Rattus norvegicus: one gene and its partners. The protein of the gene in region 3 purifies or fractionates together with the protein of the main gene of each other region. This does not show direct contact. Links are inferred from orthologs where the notes say so. Each region holds a gene or a part of one and is shown on either strand. Other genes may lie near its edges. The genes, in order: Fmr1, Med13 and Fbxw7.

Region 1 (3,747 bases), on a different chromosome or scaffold from region 3:
AGCCTTCTGGATTAAGGGAGCATGGGTCAGGCTGGATAGGAGCCCAGTAGAGAGGCCAAGGGGGAGGAGGTGTGAAAGGCTAGACTTGGTTCTGCTGTGGAAGGCACAGGAAAAGAGCTGCATGGAGTGGACACAATGATGTGCATAGACAGGTTCCATGACTGCTTTCCTGATGCCCTCTCTCTGGTATAGGGTGCACATAGAAGAGGCAAAAGCCAACTGTAAGGAAATTAACAACTGTTTAACACATTCATTGTCTCTCCCTCTTTCAGTGAGCTCTCTTTATTACGAAATCCAAGTAAAAGTATGAAAGGAAAGTGTGCGGGACAGCATTGTCTGAGAAAGGGCTAACATTTCCTGAAGGTCTGGCACACTCCATTGGCCCTTAAAAAGTACTCAAAAGTTCCCACAATGCTTCCCCAAATCGCTAGGTAGTATAGCGATTTATTTTGCACTCTGGCCATAAAAGTCCCAGAAGTCAGGGTCAGTGTAGTTATAACTGTTCCTACATCAAAGTGTTCTCCAATCGAAGTTATCACTTTAACTTCCCCTCCCGCCGCGACTTCCAGTTCAATCAGGTCCCACGCCAGCGCAGTGAAAAATGTACCCAAAGCCCCTCCACTTCTGGTTGGGCCCCATTTTCAAAAACTGGAGGCCTTTTCCCACGTCCTCGCTTCCTCCTGTACAAAAAAGGCCTCTAGTCCCCACGGCTGGCCATAGGCAGCACGACCTGTTACTACCCTTTGCGCTTTCCCGCCGTTCACCCAGCGCGCGCGCCAAAGTATCTGCCCAGTTACCCCAAGGCAGGTACCCACGACGGCGCATGCGCGTGCTCAGCTGCCCAAGAGAGAGGGCGGAGCGAAGGGGGCGGAGCCCATGGGGGAGGGGCCGCCAGGGTCACGTGGTGTCGTTTGACTGTTTACAGGAGGCGCGGCAGAGCCCTCGGCCTCAGTCAGTCTTGCGCTGGGGAGCGTTTCGGTTTCACTTCCGGTGAGGGGCCGCGCCTGAGAGGGCGGGCAGTGAAGCCAACGGACGGCGAGCGCGGGCGGTGTCAGTGACGGCGGCGCCGCTGCCGGGGGGCGTGCGGTAACGCGGCGGCGGCGGCGACGGCTGGGCCTCGAGCGCCTGCAGCCCACCTCTCGGAGGCGGGCTCCCGGCGCGAGGAAGGACGAGAAGATGGAGGAGCTGGTGGTGGAAGTGCGGGGCTCCAATGGCGCTTTCTACAAGGTAACGGGCTACCGGACAGGCCGGGTCCTCGGCCTCCCTCCCTCCCTTGTGTCCCGGGCGGCGGGCGGGCCCCTCGGGCGCGGCGGGAGCGGCGGGCGGTAGGTCGTGAGGGAGCGGCGGACTCAGGGCCTAGAGCCCGCCTCAGCGCTCTGACTCCCGCCTGAGGCCCCGGCGCCCGGCGGAACGCGAAAGGAGCGCGGGAGCTGAGGGTGGTTGAGCGGCCGAGTTCAGTCAGGGAAGCGGGAATGCGAGGACAGTAGATCTGGCCATAGGGCCGGTGCCGCGTGAAGTGGCGGCAGCGGCTTAGTCCTGCTTTCCCAAATAATCCTCTCCTAGTGGGTTCGGGGCCTGACACGCGGGGAGCCGTGAGGGAACCGGGGGCGCCTCAGCCCCGCCGCCTCCTGCCCTGCCGGACGGCGGTTCGGAGTCTTGGGCTCCGGGTTGTCGGCCCACAGTCCAGACTTTGGAGAGCTCCCCTGTTCTGGGCGAGCGGAGTGGAGCGAGTTCTAAGAAGCCCTTGGCAGTCCGGAATCACAATGGCAACTGCTCTTTAGTGGCCTCTTTGTGAATTTCGAAGGAGGGTTTTAGACCTAAAAGTTTCTGAAAGACCATGACATCTGAGAGAGCCATTTAAAACGCTAGCCAAAGCTGATATCCATGGCCTCCTACCCTCTGTAACTGGGGGAAATTCAGGGATAAACATGTCGCGACTTCTAAAAATATTACCAAGTCTGCTTATTTTAAATTTTCCTTTGTGTTTAAGTTCTCAAGGACCCGAATTTGTGCCACAGAACTTCAGGAAATTAACGGGGACTGTCTGATTGCTACTGAATTTTTACCAGGACGGTTTGGAATGTTTGTTTTGTGCTCTGAAGTGCATAAACTTGAGTATATTCGCTTTGACTTTTGCGGTGTTGCAGTGGGCTATGTTCTTGAGGTTTTAAATAAGCATTCATGGAACTACTGAGGGGTTTTTTTTATACCATTGAATATCAGATAACGTATATTTTTTTAAAGGAACCTTAAAATACATGTAATGTGGTATGATTCCTGATACTGCATAGATGTAGATCTAGCAATATTATAAAGTCTCTTTTTTTAATGTTTACAAGCTCTGTAAGGCCCCACCTCAGTAGAATATTTTAGTAACAGAAGCTGCACGTGGAAGGAAGCATGGAAAATAGCTTTTGCCATTGTCCAACCGTTTTAAGTTTATTGTAGAAGAACTTGAGCATTTCAAATGGGACGTACTAGGCTAAGCTCAGGAAAGTGACTTTTGTAAATTATGCTTTTATCAAGTCTATGGAGACATTTAGTAGAAGATAAATTATGCTTTTATCAAGTCTATGGAGACATTTAGTGGAAGATAAATTTCATGAATGAGGGAAATTTGTAAAATACTAATTTATACTAAAAATACCCTTTTGTTGTAGCATGGGAGACAGAAAGAATGCAGCATTTTTGTTGCTAATTCTATCAGTGCAGTTTTTTCAATTTGCTGTAATAAAAAAATGTTCCAGTTAGTTTTGGTTATTTTGCATTAGAAGGTTTCTAGTTTTGGTTATTTTGCATTAGAAGGTTTCTAGTTTCTAGAATGACAGTTTTAATTGCTAGAGTTGGGGCACTGAGACACAGATGAGCAAGGGATAATAGTTAAGTAGTATTTTTGTTCATCTCTAATACCAGCTTAGATTTGAGTCCACTGTTAGTTGCTTTTAATGAAGTTGGCTTGCCATTGAGGGCAAGTAGTGCATCCTACTCTTGAAGGATTTATTGGCCCCAGTAATTTTGCTTGCAAACTGACTGGAATATTTTTTAAAAAGTGCACTGTTTCCACTATTAATCCCCTTGCTTTTTTCTTGGCTTTGTTTTTCAACAACTTCTTAATTTGAAGATGAACGAAAATGAATAGACTTTGAATTATCCTTTGATTCCCTGAGGGGACATGTAGTACTCTTTTAAAGTGTGTGTTGAAGAATTGCTATTGTGTTTAAGTTTATTTTTGTTTTTTGGTTTTTTTTTAAGTTTCAACTGGTCTATATTAAAGGAAGGGTACTGGCTATACTGAAAGAAGTTTAAATTTTACATCACTTAGAATATTGACTGTGAACAGGAGAAAATAAAGTGGAAGCATGCTGAGTCCTTTTCTGGTGAGATTGATGACAAAGATGAGAAGTAAAGACCATTATGGAAACACTGGGAACCCTGTTCATTAAATTGGTAGAAGTAAAAATTTAAAGCGAAGTAAGTCAAATTCAGTATAATTGAATTCAGCTTTTGATTTGCTTACTAGAACTACTGTATTGTAAAGGGTAGTTGTACATTCCCTGAGCACATTAAGTTTGCAGAATAACTATATAGAACACATATTAGGAATGATTTGATTCTTTCTCTAAAACATCAATAAATTGAAGATTTCAGATTCACAAATCATGCTTCTGGCATGGTAAGAGCCAACCAGTTCTGATTTGGATTTTTTCTTTTATTGTTTAATTTTTAAAACTATTAGATTTGTGACTA
Region 2 (3,747 bases), on a different chromosome or scaffold from region 3:
TAACACATAATCCTAAATAATATTAAAATAAAACTATACTTTTGAAAATATATGCCAAAGTTACATTTCTAGACCCGCCCACAGGGTTAGACAAAAAGAACATAGCAAAATAGACTCAAAGGTGAGTTACACTTGACTTCAAAACTATTATATAACTATGAAAAACACCATGCTTCCAGATTCCATTTTTCTCAGGTTAATGAAAATGCTTTCCCTAGATACAAACTGTCTGTGAGAAACTACAGAAGGGAGCTGGGCTGTAATCTACATGGCTAACTTGAGGAAACTAAAACAAGGATGGTTAAACAGAGCATGGCAACTGCTCTTATAGCTTCCCACTGACAAGACAGCCCACCACAGCATATGCACATTGGGGAAAGTATACAACGTTGCTAAGGCACATTGAAAAAGGATAAATTGCTTTCACCTGATAAGTCATGGTGAATAAGGTCAGCAAAATTGGGATCTTTACCCCACCAAAATATCCACAATTCTCTTCTTCCAGGTCTTTGATCTCGCCGCCAAACACCGAGTACATCTGCCTTAAGGCATCGACTAAAACTGCTCAAAATGGGGTCTTCTTCTGTCACCGGAAACAGAATAGGGGCAGAAGTTGGGCCTTGCCATACATATCTTTTCCACTTAATTCCTGTCAGGTCGGCCTGAAGGAAAAGAAAGCATAATATCTATATTATTGTATATTCACTCAAATAAACAATATCGATTATTAAATATAATATATTATGTTACTACATATTTATATATAAATATATATTCACTATAAAGTCTTTGATTCATTAAAATCACTATTTTCAATTCATGCTTAAGAACTGAAAGTTGACAAAATTAAAAAAACAAACAAACAAACAAACAAACAAAACACCATGGCCAATTTTAATGTTTCAACCAACAAGAACTGAAGGAAAAGAATACAAAACTGTTAAATAAAATATCAAAGATGCCCGTGAGTAGCCAGTCTGTAATAAACACAGCATATCGGAAGCCGACCAAGGAAACAATGATGGTAAGCCTGTCTGTCGTCTCTAGCCTACATTCCTCTCTAGCCGTCAGTCACAGTCGCTCCCTGGTGAACTGAAAAGTAAAGGCCCTCATTGCAACGTCGTAAGACGTCATGGCTCTAATGAAAAGACTCTGAATGTTTTTCTGAAAAGAAAAAAAAAGCCTGCTAATTCCCCACGAGCACACATCTTCAGGAAAAGAACTACTTCCAAGGAGCTGTCAGATTTGTGCTAATCTATCTTCAAAAAAACCGAAGTGCCAAAAATAGATCCAGTTGGGGAAGACAGAAACGTTAAACCTGCTGTACATCTTACTACATGTGATGAGATGCTGATTAATGGACACTGTCGAGAAAACCAGTCTAATCTGTAAGGCAGAAGTACGTTAAAGATCCCCATTTACCATATCGTGAAAGAGATTCAACAAAGGAAATTCATAATTCTTTACTCTAACTTGGTGACAGAAAGCATACGGTGCCAAAAATGAAACTGCTGATACATGACTGGCAGTTTACGCTTGCCAACTAGTTATGCTCCACCCACTTAATTCACTTACCTATGATAGACTTAATATTTCCCACAGCACAAGAAAAATGAAAAAGTCACTCCAACTTAAAGTCATTCACGAAGCTCGGATATCGTTTAATTCAGGACTAGATATTTGCAACAGTTGGTACTTTTGACAAAAAGTCTTAACTATTGGGTGTTATCCGATTTGGGCCGACCTACATATACATACTAGAACATCCCTAATTCCAGCTTCCCCACACTTTTCAGTTCAATAAAAGGAACAGCCAGCTCAAAACATTCTTAAAACGTAAGCAAAACTGACAAATATAGAACGTTTAGTGCGAAACCACAGTACCTCCTCCACTAGCCCCTCCACTCTCACAAAAACATAATGTTCTAATAAAAGCAAGATGGCTAGAAATTGTCAAAATGGCAAAATGTTTTCAAAGTTTAAAAAGAAAACATATGAACTGGCAAACACTGTTTTTACACAAAGATCTGAAGTCACCCATAAGGAAACTACCCCTGTGTTAGTTTAACTTATAAAACGAAGAGGGTTTTAATACATAAGTTTTGGGGGGTCCTGTTTAAGAGAAGCCCACTTACAAGGGAAGGGCGTAAAGGCAGTGAAGCAGGCAGGGGCAATCCTGGAAAGTGTGGAAAAGGGATACGCTGTTCCATACAAGGGGCGGGGGGTGGAGGGGGGGCAAGCAAGAAGCACATAAGAAAATATTACTATCCGGCCAGATAAGAACCCAAGTTAAGGACAAGACTACGATGGAGAAAAAGACTCCAAAACAAGACAGGAGGAGGGGAAAGACTTTAAAGAAAAAAAAAAAAAAAAAGGCAAGACTCTTCCTAGCAGAGCCCTGGCCGGTGGGTGAGCGGACGCTGTCTCCCGGGGGCGGCCGCAGAGCCTCGGAGAAGGCCGACTCCGGCGGCGGGGCCTAGCCCGGGGACACCGGCATCTGGATGCGACCCGGACCCCCTCCCCCACGGCCCAAGGGCGCACGGCGCGGCCCCCTCCCCCATCGCCCGCGGCCCCCGCACTCACCAGGCAGAAGAGGTTACAGTGACAATCTTCCAGGCTGGCCCCGTTCGACACGAAGGAGGAACTCATCGTCCCTCACAGCAGCCGCCGCCGGCGCCACAACCCACCATCCGCCATTACCGCCGCCTCCGACCAGAGAGAGAAACACAGACACCGGGGAGGGCGGGGGGCGGTGGGGAGGAGGCCGCCGGGCCGCCCGCCCTCCCCGCCGCCCCCCGGCGCCGCCGCGGCCCCCGCCGCCCGGAGGCACCCAGCCGCCCGGGGCCGAGGCCGCAGGCGGGAGGGCCGCGCCGCGCTCGGCCGGCCGCCGGGACTGCGGAGCCCGCGGACGCGCGTCCCTCTCTGGAGAGGAGGGGAAGGGATGTCTGTCCCTTCCACCAGAAAAAAAAAAAAAGATTTAAAAAAGAAAAAACGAAAAACAAAAAAAAATAACAATCAGGGACACGATAAATAGTCAGAGCCGGAGTGGGAGCAGGCCGAGCCCTGACGCCCGGGAGGGTTCTCCGCGGCCCGGGGACGCCCGCGGAGGGGCGGGAAGGGCGAGGACCGGCAGAGCAGCCCGGGCCCCCGGCCCGGCAGCGGCGATGTCCTTAAGCCCAGAGTCTCCTCAGCGGCGGAGGTGGTGGCGGTGTCTGCGGGCTCAGTCCATTCTCCGGCTCTGTCCTCGTGTTGTCCCTGGGCCAAGCCTGCCTAACGTCTGCTCTCCTGCCGCCTCACCGCCTGGACGCCGTAGTCTCCCCCATTTTGTGGGCCCAGCGGGCGGTGTTTTTCCCCCTTTAATCCGAATTCACGGGTTTTCCCTTCGCTTTAATGGCGGCCACAGGGACCAGCTCGCCCTCTCTGCTCGCCCATTGGCCGCCGTGAGGTCACGTGGGCCGGGCTCCGTAGGGAGGGGGGGAGAGAGAAGGCGGTGAGGGAGGGCAGGGAAGCTTTCGGAGCCCCGGGGACCCGGCGGCCAGCTGGTGGCTACTGAGATGGCGCCATCTGCTGGATGCCCCGGTTAAGATGACCCAAGCCTTGGCCCTAGCTTTCTGCTGGCTGGGGAATGTGCAGCACAGGAAGGTTCACTTCAAAACCCAGAATTACTTGGAAATCAGTTCGAATTCTTTGGAAGAGAAAGTTGGCAAAAGAAAGAAAGGAAAGAAAAGAAAAAGAAAGAAATTCCAA
Region 3 (3,647 bases):
ACCCTCCTGCCATCATACTGAACACAGCGGACTGCTGCCACATGGCCCATCAAGACGTGTAAACACTGGCCGGTCTCAATATCCCAAACCCTGAGAGTGGCATCTCGAGAACCGCTCACAACCCTGCAGAGAGGAACAGAACGAAAGTTAGACAATGAATGCACAGGGCAGAGGAAACCGCTGCTTTCTCCTTTTTTCTTAAACAGAAATCCTTTCCCAAGAAACGCTAATGCCTTTAAATGCAAATTCCAGGTACTCTGCCTGGAATGAGAAGTGAGGAAGACTTGAAGCTCAACTGGTCACTGGCTTATGGGCCTTGGTTCCACCTCAAGGCTCCATGGTCCAGTTTAGGGAGCACTGTACTGCAAGAAACAAGCACCTGTCCACACATACAGCAAGATCCTGGGCAGCAGGATCCTGGGCAGCAGGTAACGGGGCACATGCAGGATCCGCCATGCACCTCCAGGGGTATGAACTCATAACAATCCAGAACGTTCCCTCTCTATGACCTCTGTCATTACATTACACTGCAGGTTCCTACTACCTATTCGAGTGAAGAAAAATCTCAGCACAAATTATCTTTAGACAAAGGAAGAGTTTTAAAGTGACTTTGGGACTCAGAAAGCCATGGCTGTTTCCTTATGCTCCACATTAAGGGAAGTCAGTTTCAGACGCATGCTCACAGCTGGTGACTCACAGATTGTTAAAGATGTTCCTACAGCAGTAACAGCAGTGCCTAAGAAACTGTCGCAGTGCCACAAACACTATCCTCTTCTGAAAAGCAGAGTGAGACAGTCATGCAGGTACCTCCAGATTCCCAACCAGGCACCTTTACGTCATTCCCTAGACATAAGAGCCACTCTCCATTTTAAAGAGTGGAGTTCAGAAGTGTGAGATAACGAACACAACAAAAATGGAAATGTTATGTCCTTTGAAACCCATCCCTAAACTGTAATCACTGTGCAAAGAACACACTGTGCAAAACAGGCTCAAATTTAGGAGTGAAAAGGAGCCCCGTGTACAGCACAGCTGTAGGGAGCCTATTTACAGCGATGGGTCTTGATACAAGGCAGGATGGACAGAGCTGTGGTCATGCGTGCGTGGAGTCCACGTAAGGACCCTTCTAAGATACATGCTTTCAGAGCTGTGAACGCAAGGACCCTCCTGTCTCTACCTTCTCCGTGCAAAGATGAGCAGCCAAAAGCATGCTTTCTGACAAATGAAGTAGAAAACACAGCCTCTTAGCTGGGCGCAATGAAGATGGGTCAACAGAAGGACCTGAGGTTAGCAGAAGCCTGAGATACAAAGCCCCAGGCAGAGACTGGGTGGGAAAGGGCAAAGAGGCCAGGCTTGGCTGAAACCACTTGGAAATGGGACTGAAAGTTCTCCTTCATTTGGTGGGCAGAAGTAGGGCAGCAATGCCAGCCTAAAATGAGGGCTCTCTGTCAGCGTGCAGAAGGCCAGAGGACCCCACACCTGAGGCTCTCCACAGCTCAGATGACCAGTACTGAGAGTAAGATAAGGCCCCTGGACCTCAGCATGTCTACAGCAGGGATGCGATGGACTGGGGACAACGTGGGTGTGGCACTCAAGGACTCAGGCTACAAGTCCCAGTGACTAAATCTGTTGTTCTTGCACAGCATAAATATGAAAATCAAGAAAGAAAATGATTTTTGTTTAAAGATGATGAATCATCAAAACATCAAAACAGATTAGAGAGCAGAGTTTGAAGAAAAACAGCCATACGTCAAATGAAGAAGAAAATTTAAAGACAGCCCTCCACTTTTAAGCCAGCATAACCTAACTTTCTTGGTTTAGGACCACCTGCACCCTGTCCTTAGTGGCCACTGGAGGAGCTCATTAGCACTCCCTTAATCCCAAATCCACAAGTAACAGTAATGTGAGCCCCAGTCGCTAGGGCGTGGCCTTTACCTTTTTTCATGGAGATGCATACACCGTACAGTGGAGGTGTGCCCATATAACGTATGTATACACTCTCCAGTCTCTGCATTCCACACTTTGAGAGTCCGGTCAGTAGATCCACTAATGATGATATTGTCTCTCATCTGTGAAGACCACACTCCACCGGTGTGTCCCACTAACGTCCTCAGACACTGGAAAAACACCCCAGATGATTAATTTTAGGTAGAAATGCAAGCAAATTAAAGGCTATATTAACATCTCATTAAAAATCTGGAATAAATTTTACTTATTCAACTTCATGAGAGCGCTAGGAAAGCATTTTTGCATACCAATGCTACATGGCGCCATCACTACTGTTTGCTTATTTGGTAGCTGAAAATGCTACAGGGATACACAACTGAGGAACAAGTATGGAGAAAGAAACATGTGATAAAACCTAAGATTCACATGAAGGGCTGGAGAGATGGCTCCGTGGTTTAGAGTACTGGCTGCTCTTTCAGGGACCTGATTTGATTCCCAGCACCCACACGGTGCCTCACAACCACGTGTAACTCTAGTGCCCAGGCATCTGACCCCCTCTTCTGGTCTCAGAGGGCACCTGGCATGCATGTGGTGCACAGACAGACATACAAGTAAACAGTTATACACAAAATAAAATGACGTAAAAAAAGTTTAAAGAGATCGCATGATACAAAGCCTAAGGCGTCAGAAAGCAAAGTAATGAAGCAAGTAAGCTCCACAGCCCCAGCCGGTCAGCAGGGTTAAAACCACCCAGGCTGCAGCAGGGAGTCCCACTGAGGAGGACCAGGGCAGGAATGGGGGAGAGTCGGGTGTGGCCACATACCACAGCTCACCCATCTCCTCAGGGCAGTAGTTAGGGCGGCCTAGGCTCCTTCTAGACAAGCAAAGACAGACACTGAAACTCCCAGATAAACCCCAAACTAATATTATACTATGGAAACGTGGAGCTGCTTTTAAAACTTTAACATCTGAGTATTTGTAAAAGTCTTGTCCGAGGAACACCACAGCAAAACATATTTTAAAAAAACAAGCTTTTCCATACTTTCCTCTGCTATGTTTCAAATGGTCAATGTTCACTAGAGACTCGTTAAGGAGCCGTATGCAGTACATGAGGCACGGCCGCCCTGCTTCATTTCCGTACCACTAATGTCGAGACAACTCTTACAGGATTTACTCCGTTTCTAAATTACAGATAGCTTAGTAACAAAGCAGTTTATAAGGAAAATTACAAATCTCTGTCATGTTTTGGAAGGCCTTAGGAAGTAGTGATTCTGATTCACACGGCCAAGGTGAAAGGTTCTCAGGTAAAGAAATGAGGGTGTGCACCTGAGATACCTTAGACTAAGTGACAAAGACGGCAAACTATTTAAGTGGAGAAAATGCTACTGCTGCCAGCATGCCAAAAAAGTATTCACGAACATAAGGAGAAGGTAAGTGTTTCTAAAGGAGGCCTGATATTCGTGATTAAAATAGTTGGGACCAAAACACCCCCTTTACTGTGACTACACACACAAAATGGTGACTCCCTGAGGTATGGAAAGACGTGAACTTACCTTACCCGTGACCGCTGACCAAACTTTTAAAGTGTTGTCATCAGAACCACTAACTATGCGGTTACCACAAAACTGTAGGCACGTAATCACATGATCATCATGCCCTTTCAGCACCTATAAGAAAAACGTACATATCCCATGGGTGTTACT

Evidence for each region.
Region 1: the proteins of Fbxw7 (region 3) and Fmr1 purify together in Homo sapiens (affinity purification with mass spectrometry, with the first as the bait; 3 studies listed by BioGRID). This does not show direct contact. The link is inferred for Rattus norvegicus from reciprocal best matches to the Homo sapiens genes FBXW7 and FMR1.
Region 2: the proteins of Fbxw7 (region 3) and Med13 purify together in Homo sapiens (affinity purification with mass spectrometry; 5 studies listed by BioGRID and IntAct, with this or other methods). This does not show direct contact. The link is inferred for Rattus norvegicus from reciprocal best matches to the Homo sapiens genes FBXW7 and MED13.

The regions. Positions count from the first base shown.
Region 1 is NC_086039.1:152,283,935-152,287,681, forward strand, and holds the start of Fmr1 (fragile X messenger ribonucleoprotein 1), read left to right. Parts: upstream 1-995; 5' UTR 996-1,176; coding exon 1,177-1,227; intron 1,228-1,990; exon of another isoform or gene 1,991-3,471; intron 3,472-3,747.
Region 2 is NC_086028.1:71,671,182-71,674,928, forward strand, and holds the start of Med13 (mediator of RNA polymerase II transcription subunit 13), read right to left. Parts: upstream 2,721-3,747; 5' UTR 2,650-2,720; coding exon 2,584-2,649; intron 2,460-2,583; exon of another isoform or gene 1,576-2,459; intron 663-1,575; coding exon 428-662; intron 1-427. UniProt on the Homo sapiens protein: Component of the Mediator complex, a coactivator involved in the regulated transcription of nearly all RNA polymerase II-dependent genes.
Region 3 is NC_086020.1:172,601,132-172,604,778, reverse strand, and holds part of Fbxw7 (F-box/WD repeat-containing protein 7), read right to left. Parts: intron 3,612-3,647; coding exon 3,498-3,611; intron 2,115-3,497; coding exon 1,933-2,114; intron 124-1,932; coding exon 1-123. UniProt on the Homo sapiens protein: Substrate recognition component of a SCF (SKP1-CUL1-F-box protein) E3 ubiquitin-protein ligase complex which mediates the ubiquitination and subsequent proteasomal degradation of target proteins.